Bombyx mori: one gene and its partners. The protein of the gene in region 3 binds, or shares a complex with, the protein of the main gene of each other region. Links are inferred from orthologs where the notes say so. Each region holds a gene or a part of one and is shown on either strand. Other genes may lie near its edges.

Region 1 (4,052 bases), on a different chromosome or scaffold from region 3:
AGAAGCAGGAACATTAGAGGGGCTTGTATCTGAGATGGTAGTAGAACACATGTGTCCCAAATCACCAAGTCACATACAGCTGATATTGATCTTAAACCCCTTTTCCAATTTCATTATATGGAAGTGTCTTATTTTTTCCACTGTTATTCTATAAATTCACAACTCGAGTGATTATGTATGTTAATATGTAATGTAACATAATTAAAATATCTATAAAGGCTATTTTCACTAAGGACACAACAATGGAGAAATGAGCGCTTTAGTTACTGTAATTAATTTCCATTTGTCTCTTGAGCATATAGGAGAACTTTAATTGTTGCCAATCTCTAATAATGTAGGGGACACAGTATGGGAAGATATTATAATGCCCAGATGCAAATTTCTTAATCACACTTCTAAAATAATTGAAAATTGTTGGTAAATGAAAGGACCCAAAATTGACTTAAATTATGACCAGTAATTTTAATGTTTGAATTTGATAACAGTAAGAATGAAAATAGGTAATTTATTTATGTATTTATATAATCTATTTATGTGTTTGGTAAATTTATCTATTTATGTATTTATAATAGTTACTTAATACTGTTTGTAAAATATTGTTACATTTTTTATTGATTTACAGTTTTTATCAGTAAAAAGCTGCAAGTTTTGAGACAAGACAAGTACTGTTTAAATAAACGTGCAGATAACTGTAAACAATATATATAAAAATAAGTTAGATAATTTTTGTTACCAATTAAGGAAACAACAAATATATTTAAATTTTTTTACTGCTGAATTAAAATAATTGACCTTTTTAAATTTATGTTATTTCATGAAGGTTAACAAGGATGATCACTAATTTAGAATTGTTTACATTTTTCAGTACTTTTATGAAAACTGTATACAACACTTACATAACACAAACATATACATCAATTATAAGCACATAAAATATTTCAAGAACATCAGAGGTTTCAAGAATATACAAAATTTGCAAAAACGAAAATGTGTTCATAATGCAAATTATGCTTAAATATTAAATAAGACTAAAAATTCTAAACTGAGTAATTTAAAAAAGCTATTTTAATATTCTCATTCATTGTTTTTTTATTGTAAGAAGTTTGTAAAAGATTTTCAAACAGCATTTTAAATATTATTTCAATATACTGAATGTACTATTAATATGTTTTATTTAATATTGCTGCCAATTCACAGTTTGGTGTTCTGACACTGCAAATTTTATTTATCAATAGTTTTATACTTTAAGATGTCTTAGTTGATTAAAAAACAAGGTTTCTAGTTTAATCCCTTTACAAATTTTATCATTTGCTACAGTGCTATGTACAATTTACATTCTGTGATAAATCTAGCCCATCGGTCAAAGTTTAATTCAGAATAAAACAAATATTTGAGATATTAATTTATCTTAAAAACTGAAACAAATGCATAAGGTTAACTTGGCAACAGTAAAATAGAGTTGACAATTCCATAGTTTTAATGAAATTTGAAATATTCTGTTATTTTCATAACATAATTGCTTTTTTATTCATTTGATACTTAGTCCTTACGTTCCATGTTAGACTAAATTTATTACACATTGTAAACACGCTAGATGCTTTAAACCTAAACATAAATGAAGCAATCAACCTTCACATCAAGCCAGCTACATACAATAAGCACGTGGACACAAATATTAATAAACGCAGAACAGTACATATTCAGCGCGTAATGAATGAGATGAAATTAATTTTTATTCATAAAACCTCTGATCTCGAAGTACAACTTACCATCAGCTCATGAGTCCATGTTTGCAACTAAGAAACAAGTTCGATTATTTGTAGGTTTTATTCATGAAAAACAAACAATAGTAAACAACATTTTGTTCATAATTAATGTAGATGATCATGTGAGTAATTTTTTTGTCAGTACCTATTATTTTCACAGATGCAGGGCACAGTAGAACGTTTACCTTTATATTTACCAATATATTATTAACCAAGAAAAATATATTTACCAATATTTCATTCACTATGTTGGCGACTTGCGAATCGGCCATTTCCGTGATTATATTTTCCTCGAACATGCGCTTGGATTGACGGTCACCTTTATACAAAAAACTAGCTAAGCACTGGAGCATCCAAACTACGCTTTCAACAAAACACCGAAAGGTTACAAAGTTATCGGTACATGTCTTTCAGAATAATAATTATGTATAAGATCTTTGACGGAAGAAGTTAACTCAAGAAAGAAATTTTAATTACAAATGCAGCTGTTAGGAATTATGTTCTTCTTAAATTTACATGCCAACGTTAACAAGTAAAAACTGGGATACTTAAACCATCACTACGCGAAATTTAATAAATGACTAAATGCATTGAATAATCTATGCTAAATGTGGACACTGGACAATAAAGGACTTTTTGGCGGGAACGCGAGGAGTGAAGTTGTGTGATTTGTTTTATTTTGTCTATTTAGTGTTTCTTCAGGTTTAAATGTGTAATAACGGTGGTTTATTAACTGTTTAATATCTGTGAAAGTGCACAAATGTGGGAAAATGAAACAAAGCTGCTGGACGTAACTTCTCGGGTTCCTCCAAAAAGTCCACTGAAAAAATCTCAGTAAATGACCACCATTTTACTGCGATTATATTTCATCCCATATCATCTCATTTCATTTAATTTCATCCCAGTTGATTAATGTTTCAAATTAATCATCTTCATTTCATTTCACTCCATATTATCATTTTTCATAAAATTAAGAATATAAGACATGACTTAAAGGTCTTAGTTACCAGGTCATAAAATCTCTTAAAAAAAAAAAAAATGGACAATAAAGTTTGAAATGGACTTTTTGGCGGGAACGCGAGGAGTGAAGTTGTGTCATTTGTTTTATTTTGTCTATTTAGTGTTTCTTCGGGTTTAAATATGTAATAATGGTGGTTTATTAACTGTTTAATATCTATGAAAGTGCACAAATGTGGGAAAATGAAACAAAGCCGCTGGACGTTACTTCTTGGGATCATCTAAAAAGTCCACTGAAAAAATCTCAGTAAATTAGCACCATTTTACTGAGATTATATTTCATCCCATATCATCTCATCTCACTTCATTTGATTTCATCCAAGTTGATTCATGTCTCAAACAAATAATCTTCATTTCATTTCATTATTTTTCATAAAAATAAGAATTCAAAAAAAAAATTAAAATAAGACATGACTTAAAAGTCTTAGTCACCGGGTCATAAAATCCCTTAAAAAAAAGTTTGAACTTTACTCTTTGTATAAAATAATTCCCGGTTTACACTATTCCAGTCCAGTGATCGAATCCAGCACTGGATTGCTTACTGGAAAAATGTAAACTGGCACTGGATGCACTGAATCCAGTTAGCATTCCAGTCCAGTAACTGGATTGGCGGTCTACTTTTGAATTCAGTGCGACCAATCCAGTGCACCTGGATCCAGTGCCATTCCAGTGCTGACACAGTAAGCACGTGTTGGTTGTTTTTGCGGATTACTGGGGCGAATAAATTACTTAAAAATGGTGAAGAAATTATCTGACGATCAAATTTTAAAGCTTCTTATGTTATACGGAGAAAATCCTTGTTTATAGCACATATCATCAGAAGATTATTTAATAAATATATTACACATGTGTCGGTGCAACGTCACTATTTAGTTGACTTAAATAGTTTTCTTTTTCTTTCTTTCTGGCTTTTGTTACTTAGATTTAAATACAACTTTGCCAACGTCGGGTAGTGGAGGTATCAACATAATTTGTTAAGATTTTATGTGGAAGAATAAGCAGACTCGGTTTTTTAATATCACAAATTATATTTTATTCACATGACACAATCTTATTAAGTAGAGAATGTATCCATGGTAACAAGTCAACATTACTAGTGCGGCGACACGCAGCTAGTGCTATATCTCAACATAATTATGCTAAGACCTATTTAGTTTAATTTTTTTTGCATTAAACAGTTAGTAGGAACTACAATTTTATACTATTAGCGTTTATGAAAGATCCAAGCAAGTAGACTACCGTTTTAGTGGGGAAAGTTAATAGGAAGTT
Region 2 (3,218 bases), on a different chromosome or scaffold from region 3:
AGTGATTGTTGCATAGTACAATTTAGTAGTTTTACTACCAAGGGTAGAACTCCTGTCGTTTTCTGGGGACGTAGTGACACTGATTAATCTAGACAGCCTCAAGCCATACCGCTAATCCACCTGTCACAATGGGTCGGCATATTTTCGCAAGTTAAATCACTAATAACCTCGAGGTTCTTATAACACTAATTAAAACTCAAGTATATATTTTTACAGCACTAAGCTTAATCTTTTAGGGTCACTTAAAATATTTGAACACTTAAAAATAAAAATTAAAGTTAATGAGATCAGAGTTTTGAATCATCATTGCCTTAACTCTGAAAACCTTATAATCGCAATAAAATTAGTGAAGCTAGCTGCTTTCTAAAAGTAAATATATTTTCAATATTTTGACATTTACAATGAATACCATTGCAATATTGTGATTTTTTCTTAGAATTAAGTAAAGTTTATATTTTTATTGATTTGTTCAGAGTGAGTGAAATAAAAATAGCTCTAACTATGTTACAGTTTTTTATTATCTAATTTAGTAGTTATATTATGTAAAGGACACTACTGATAGTGAATTACAATCAACAGCAACTAATCCATGGTTAGCCAAAAACATCCAAGGAACTATTATTATTTTTTCAGTTGTTTTTTTGCATCCTGTACTCCTTCCTTCAAATTTGCACTGAACCTTTTTAAAAACTCTATAAATTTATTAACTTTCTGTGGATCAACATCAGAGAGCTTTTCCTTCCCTCTGTAAAATACTGAGACAGCTAACTGAGCTGCTCTTCGTACAGGGTAGGACTCTGCAATCTTCTGTACAATTCGTTCATTATTGGCTAAGTATTTAAGCAGCGCACGTAGAGGCATCTTCACTTGAATGATGTCTCAAATGAGCACATATTCCGATACTTCTGTAAGAGTTCACGCTTTAATCTCAGCTGAGTGCGGAGCAGTTCAAATTGCTTCAGCTGGTCGTGTTTGTTGAATTCTATACCTGGGAGCCTCCTGATCTGAAATGAGTGATATATTATTGCAGATAATTGTGTACTGGTTGATGATATATTATGGCAGATACTTGTGTATGAGTTCATGATAAATTTGATTCCTCAAAATACAAAAATTATGCTGACTTAGCATATTATTTTTACATTACAAATGTTAAATACCAAGTATGTTTCCAGTATTTGAAAGTAATCTCACCTGAGCTTTAGCTATTTCTAGCCTCTTTTGTAATTCAAGAACTCTATGACTGCACTCGTGGGACTCGCGTATTTTCGACGCGTTGTCGTGAAAATCTCTCTCCACGCTGTAATAAAAACATTTAAAGCACCAGAAAATACAAAATGAACTTGAGCAAATCTAGTTTGTCTCAAATAATACGCAAAATACCTTCGTATTATATCGTATACAATCGGTAAAAAGTCTACATCTACATCCTCAACAGTCAGGGGACTGTAGTTCGTCTGTTCTGAATGATCTGTGTTGTTTTCCATTGTACAAATTTTAAGCACAATTTTTCACTTGCTTATTATGTAACAGATTTTATTATACGTACGTTGTTTATTAATTTATAAATTTATTAGATTATGGTTATTAAACACATAAACCTAGGTACGTAAAAAAGTAGGTAGATTCTTTACCATCACAAAACCGAAAACGACAAAAATAATGATGTGTTATTGTGTTATCTATGGACAGCAATGGACTATGGACGAAATCGCGGAGAATAAGTCGAATGTTTGTGTGATCGGTGTTCGACAAGCAAAGGAAATAAAGCTCATACACGAAATTTTTGGAACGAAGTTCTTTACGGCAGGCTTGGAGGAGATAGGGATTTTGCTGCACGTCCGAACTGAAAAAAATGTGATAGTAAAACCGTAAGAAAAAGTCCGTGGAATAAAACCGTTAAATAAGACGTGCGCAGGCGCGACAGTCATATACACAAGCGAGTAGTGTATAATACCTTTCTCTTTTTATGTATATTCTTAGTACGATGGCTATACAGTGTCTAATGTATAGTCTACGTGATGACGGTTATTATTATAATTCGTATAAATAGCTGTTTCTTTGTATATTATTATTATAATTTTTTATAAATCATTGTGAATAAAATAAAGTTGATAACTTTGTAATGTAATTATTATTATATTTTTATCAATAAAAAATAAAATAATAAAAATGTATACCTGAATAATTATTTTCTTTAGACCTCGAATAGAACTTGAAATTAATATTTTTATAATAAGGAACTTCGTTCCTATCCGGTGTCCCACGACACCACACATCTTTTTTTTACAAAGGCTGTAGTAATGTCTGTTAAAGAAAAGTAAAATAAAATGAAAAAAATGTTTGAAATAAAATGAATTTGAATGAAATTATATGACCATCGGTGTTTTATGGGACGAAATAAATTAATCAGTCTGAACAATAGTGAGAGTTTACTCGTCACTTAACTTTTTAGAAACGCTTGAAAAACCAAGTTCAACAACTTGGTTCCATTTTCTTAATCTTATCCACTTTCACGAATACGAAACCGTTGCTATTTATTAAACTTGTAGAAACACTGGATTAAGAAAATAGCACAACTCAGACAAGTTATCTTCTCCTATTTCTGCCAAGATTTTGGAATCGACTAAGAAAATAGAAATTTTTTAAACTACTTACCTATCATTATATTCTGCATAAATTTTAGGCCCGACTCTACGAAAGTTTTAAAATTCTACTAAGTTTATTCACGCTGAAGGTAATTGTTTTTACTCAACTAATTATAATATGTGCTTAGTGATTTTAATTAATTAAAAATATATCAATCAGAGGTGCTACGGTAATAAAATACCCCATTCTTTCTAAATCAAGAAGCTCTGTAGTGATACGTTTTAGTATTGAAATCGCATCAGATTTTAAGAACGCCAAATGGCACTTCGAAACATCAGTAGCAGGCTCTATCCGAATCATTTTCTATGGTTCGTACGTATATTAAAATATGAGTTAAGAGTGTGTTGCTGTGTGTTATTTTGTTTCTGACAGGGTATACGAGGAACGAAGTTTTTTTATTTTTTTATTTTTCTATTTAGTGTTTATTCAGGATTAAATGTGTAACTTAACAATAACGGTGGTTTATTAATAATTTAATATCTGTGAAAGTGCACCAATGTGGGAAAATGAAATAAAGCTGCTGGACGTTGCTTCTCGGGATCGTCTAAAAAGTTTACTGAAAAAGTTTC
Region 3 (5,597 bases):
CTTGGCCACATTGAACCACATAAATCAAGAACTGAAGTATAAAATGTGTTTGGGGTGTGATATTTCCGTCCTTGCCAGCTAGTTGTGAAAAGGACGCATACAGCGTTTCTAAAGCTGACAACAATGGTTCTTTTAATGATATTTCATATCCTTGTCCCTTACAATAATAAACACCACTTCCATCGGATGTATTGTCGTTGAGTTTCCGCATTTTACTAGACGACATCGCATCCAAATCCTCAACTTCGTCATGACGACGCTTCCTCGAAAAATGCGACTTTTTAGTGTTGCTGTAATCTAAGGCAGCATATATGCAATACACTGCTAGCTTGGCTAATACAGAAGACTGGGGTTCAACTAGCTCTTCAGACAACTTAGAATTATACAGGTATTGTGGTAGAACATGTAATAAAAGTGCTCCTGTGCACTTTTCTATGTCCAAATGGAACATCGCCAACACAATATCAACAGATCTATCGAGATCTACTTGGTACCGAAATTTTAATGTCTCTTTCACTAAGTTCGTCACAAACCATATTGGGCCAGTTGTGTTCAAAAGATTCTCAACGAGATGGGTAGCATCAATATGAAGGTATCCTCTAGACTTTATATTTTCCCAAATGCTTTGTAGTTGCTCTAATATTGGCTTGCGAGAGGTGATACTGTATGGCAACTGCTGCTCTTTTGATTTTGGCATTGAGGTAGGATGAATTTTAAACAGTAATTTTCTTATTATCTGACACATCAAAATTGCTCTTTCTTGAAAATTGTCTATTTGAGTTAATTCTAATTCAGTAGGTGATGTTAAAAATTGCTGAACCATATTCATGGGTTTTATTGATGCATCTTGATGGACAACATTGATGTATGAACAAAGCCATACTGATGCACACACTGCCAAGGAAGCCATTTTTTGTCTTATAGAATCCAACATTCTTTTAACATCTGTTGCCGAAAGTAGACCTTGTTCCCAAGCAAAAAGAACCTCTTTGACTGCACCAGTGATATTCATACAAAGATCATGAGGTTTGACATTAGTATTTTTGAAATCAAAGTCAGGAGCACTCAAATGGTGAATGATAACATCAACAACATGATCACATTTCTGAAGTATCTGATCTGAAGATTTATAATTTCCTTTATGTACCATACAATCCCTTACCCATTTCTCAAAAAATGAATCACCATTTTCTTCTAGAACAACATCAGCTCCATAATCTTGGACTATCCAACATAAAAGCAAAAATGAAATGTCAAATATATATACTTTTGATTGTGGTGCACCTTTTTCACTTGCAGCAAACAATGCAAATTCATTAAACTTAATGAGTCTTGACACAAACATTTTTAGTTTTCCTTCCACAGTTGCAACGGCCAGGATGGTATCCAATGTAGTTCGACCAACTATTTGGCATAGCATGATATAGAGCGACTCTTGAGTTTTGTGAAATTCACCACTCAATGCTTTTAAAATCTCTGCCAATGTAGGTTCAACACGAGTTATAAATAATGGGACTGAGCCTTGTAATCCTATTGGCTCAAATTTTTGTAAAGGATGATCAATAGTCTCACGTTTTTGTTTAAAATATGTCAAAGTATTATCTGACAGAACATTAAGTTTAACTAATGGCTCTATAAGTGAAATAACACTATTACAAGAATTCTTCGTATCAACAATATCCAGGAGTGGAGCTGATTGTAATAACATTTCAAAAGCTTCCACAACCTCAGTAGAATATTCACTTTCCTTATTTGTTGTCCCACACATATTATGGAGGTGATTTATCACTTGTGGAACTTTTAGAAAAGTGAATGCAGCCCACAATGATTGCTTCGATGCATCATTACTAGAATCATTTAGTGAAATGAAACAAGCTCTAATAAGTTCACAGTAGAGACGTGACAATGAATAGCCTTTTATTTTCTGAACCATTAGTAGTTGGCTGGAGATCTGTTGCATGCCTGCACTAGGGTTTGAGAACACATTTATAGCTATTAAAGCCTGCAGACAATAGGTTACAGCTTCTGGTTTATTGTTTAAGGGTGCTATTTTATCCAATTCCATATTGCAGATTTTGTGTAAAGTGACATGTATGGTCATCGGAGGTTTGAATTGAGTGTTCATCATCATAAATGCTGTTATCTCTTGACATTTCTTTGTCACTTCGTTATACTCATCAGGATCATTCTGCTTGGCCAAATAGAACATTGCAATCAGAAAATCTGTATTAACAATAGAGTTCAGTAAAACTGATGATTTCTCCAATAATTCCTGACTTTGAACAGAACTTGAAGCTGGATACTTGGTTAATGAATAGTGAAATACTTGTAAAAGCCACAATATTATAGATGATACAGCATAAGCTAAAACTTCTTCTTCTAACTTGCCTCTGCATGTAATACTCTCCAAAAAGGTTTCAAGGAACTCCAACAAGCTTATTATACAATGAGGTTTGTGAAAAGCATCAAATTTTGCGATTCGTTGTAACACAGCCGCGAAAGAGACCAAATGACACGCAAGTGAATGTTTCAAATACGATATCACTAACTGATTGGCCCCACAGCCTACCATGGCTTGTTGAAGAATACAATCAGCCAGATTATATAGGTCACCACTGACGCCCCTCGGCAGTATAGTTTTGATGTTGATGCCCCATTGAATATCAGTCCATCGTTCTTTCCAAGCTTTTAAAATTAAAGCTTTTAGTGAACTAGTTTTACTCGTTATTTTGGAAGCATCCATTTTTATTGTATTTTATTAGAGCACAATAATGTTTCTTTCTTACATTTCACACATTTTTGACGTGATATTAGTCGTTTAAACAACACTTTACTACTAGTCTTTGAGGTTACAAATTACATTTTCTTGTTCACTGTTGAATATTGAAATTAATTCGTTATATTTGTGTGGCATATTAAGTTTATCACATTTTTAAAGATATTTTATTTATAGCGAGCATTTGAGAATAAACATTACTTTATATGATCAAACTTGAATAATAATAGCCCAATCACAAAATAGACATTTTTTTTTTTTTTTTTTTTTTTTTTTTTTTTTTTTCTTTTTTAGCTTGCACTGTTTGTGCATTTAGCCACATACAAGGGTAAAGGTAGGGAAACAGGAGAAAAAGGAAAAAACGGATAATTAAAAAGAATGGATCAGGTAGGTATTTATATACATAATTACAATTTGATATTATGTTTCAGGATAAAATTTGAAATACATAAATAAATATCATAGTTCATAGTACACAGCAAAGTATTAATAGAAGTCGGGAGTGGAATACCAAGGGATGTTAATAAATCAATAAATGAGGAACAGTCATTTAAGGAGCACGCGAAAAAAATATGATTTAAATTGCCAACATCAGCGCCGCAATCACACATATTGTTATTGACTATACCCAATCTAGTCAAATGAGATGGAGTGCAAGCATGACCCAGTCTCATCCGGATTATGATAGTAGTCGTGATCTTATTAAATCTAAAATTGTAAAACCAAGGCTTGGTAGGAATGACAGATTGTATTTGGGCATAATTCTTTCCTTTATATTGACTAGAAATAGCCCATGTTTGTCCCCAAGATTCGCGCAGGTCTGAATTCGGAAGACACAAAAGATCATTTATGAAGATTTTGTATGGATAAATATCTCCACAATCCACAGCATCATTGGCAAGTTTATCAGCAAATTCATTGCCAGAAATACCCACGTGACTAGGAATCCAGGCAAAAATTACATCGAAACCTTTTAAATTACATTCCCACAGTAATTTTCTACAATCTACAATAACAGGGTAATTGGCGCAAGATTTGAAAGGAAATTTCTGAAGTGCCTGAAGCGCACTTTTGGAATCAGAAAAAATAACAGATTTATGTAATTTCATCAAATTAACATATTCTATAGCTTTAAATAATCCGTAGCATTCCCCAGTAAAAACAGAGCTTTCTGGTGGAAGTTTAATTTTTTGGACAATTTTTGATTGTTGATGATAAACTCCAACACCAACGAGACCAGAGGAAGAATTTTTAGATGCATCGCTATAAATGTAATGTCGATCTGACCACTCTCTATCTAAGATGATATTAAAATCGATATTGGCAGAAAAAATAGATCGAGATATATCTAAGGTAAAATGAATTTTAGGAACAAGAGTTAATGCTTCATATTCAGCAGAAAAAATAGAGAGACGATGAGACATGTGAGTGGGGGCAAGCAAAGAGGAAAATTTACGAAAACTCACGACTAAACAAGGTAGAGACTTGTGCCTCCAGTAGGGGGAAGATGAAACTAAATGTGATAAAGTAGATAATTTGGTATGAAGGGGATGCTTGGTAAATTGTAGAGCACGGAACAGAAACTTGTCACAAAGATATTGACGACGGAGTCGCAGAGGAGGGTCAACACACTCAACTTGTAAAGCATTGATAGGACTAGATTTCATTGCACCGGTTATTAAACGGAGAGCTTTTGATTGTATGCCATCAAGCTTATTTAGTCCGACTGCATTACATGGTTCAAGAAAGTAAGTACCATAATCTAAAATACTTCGTATGAGAGCGTTGTATAGGAGCTTTAGATTATATGGATGTCCACCCCACCAGACTCCAGTTAAACATCTCATAATATTCAAAACTCGTTCGCATCTAGCTATAACGTAATAACAATGTGATAAACCTGATAATTTGGCGTCTAGAATAACTCCTAAAAATTTTATTTCATTTTCAGATGGAATAAGTTCATTATCAAAATATACGGAAACAGGAGGAGGAAGCCGCATTCTAGAAAATAACACAATGCAACTTTTTGAAACAGAAAGATTAAGAGCGTTGGAGACAAGCCAAAATTTAAGTTTGGACAGTGCTCGACTTAAAAAGTCACTTAATTCTAAAACAGATCGCCCTGAAACGTATAAAACTAGATCATCTGCATATTGTAATATAGACACGTTATTAGAATCACCATTAGGTATTTGAATTGCTTTATCTAGGTCATGTGTGTAAATGTTATACAAAGTAGGGCTAATAACACATCCCTGGGGTAAGCCCTTCCATAAAGTTCTAGATTTATGGTTTGAATCGCCCGTATCCATAGTTATTACTCTACCAGACAAGTAATTAATAATAAAATTAGTAATCAAAAAGGGAACATTGAGCTTAAGGAGTTTTAGCTTTAATATGTGAAGATCGACGTTATCGTAAGCAGCATGTATATCTAAAAATGCTGCAAGTGTTGATTCATTATTACTAAAGGATAATCTAATATCAGTTGTAAATATTCCAAGACTATCCATAGTGCTCCGACCTTTCCTAAAGCCGTATTGGTTCGGAGCAAGAATATCATTAGATTCAAGAAACCATTCTAACCGATTTTTTATTAGATGTTCTGTTAATTTTGCGAGAACAGATGCGAGGGCTATTGGTCTATACGAGTTCGCATCAGAAGGAGGCTTATTCGGTTTTAAAATAGAGATTACTTCTTGTAATTTCCACGAAGTGGGGATATTGCCAGAAATCATAATGGAATTTATCAAACTTAAAAAGTAAAGAAGGCTAGAATCACTTAAGTGAGAGAAAAACGAATAGGGTATACCATCAG

Evidence for each region. Proteins that work in one complex are often made in the same cells at the same time.
Region 1: mediator of RNA polymerase II transcription subunit 24 (region 3) and mediator of RNA polymerase II transcription subunit 23 share a complex: the UniProt entries of both Drosophila melanogaster proteins name them as parts of the mediator complex. The link is inferred for Bombyx mori from reciprocal best matches to the Drosophila melanogaster genes MED24 and MED23.
Region 2: mediator of RNA polymerase II transcription subunit 24 (region 3) and mediator of RNA polymerase II transcription subunit 9 share a complex: the UniProt entries of both Drosophila melanogaster proteins name them as parts of the mediator complex. The link is inferred for Bombyx mori from reciprocal best matches to the Drosophila melanogaster genes MED24 and MED9.

The regions. Positions count from the first base shown.
Region 1 is NC_085107.1:8,842,402-8,846,453, forward strand, and holds the start of mediator of RNA polymerase II transcription subunit 23, read right to left. Parts: upstream 2,801-4,052; 5' UTR 2,120-2,800; coding exon 1,997-2,119; intron 1-1,996. UniProt on the Drosophila melanogaster protein: Component of the Mediator complex, a coactivator involved in the regulated transcription of nearly all RNA polymerase II-dependent genes.
Region 2 is NC_085116.1:15,850,796-15,854,013, reverse strand, and holds mediator of RNA polymerase II transcription subunit 9, read right to left. Parts: upstream 1,765-3,218; 5' UTR 1,488-1,764; coding exon 1,384-1,487; intron 1,301-1,383; coding exon 1,195-1,300; intron 1,005-1,194; coding exon 864-1,004; 3' UTR 501-863; downstream 1-500. UniProt on the Drosophila melanogaster protein: Component of the Mediator complex, a coactivator involved in the regulated transcription of nearly all RNA polymerase II-dependent genes.
Region 3 is NC_085113.1:5,801,388-5,806,984, forward strand, and holds the start of mediator of RNA polymerase II transcription subunit 24, read right to left. Parts: upstream 3,470-5,597; 5' UTR 2,744-3,469; coding exon 1-2,743. UniProt on the Drosophila melanogaster protein: Component of the Mediator complex, a coactivator involved in the regulated transcription of nearly all RNA polymerase II-dependent genes.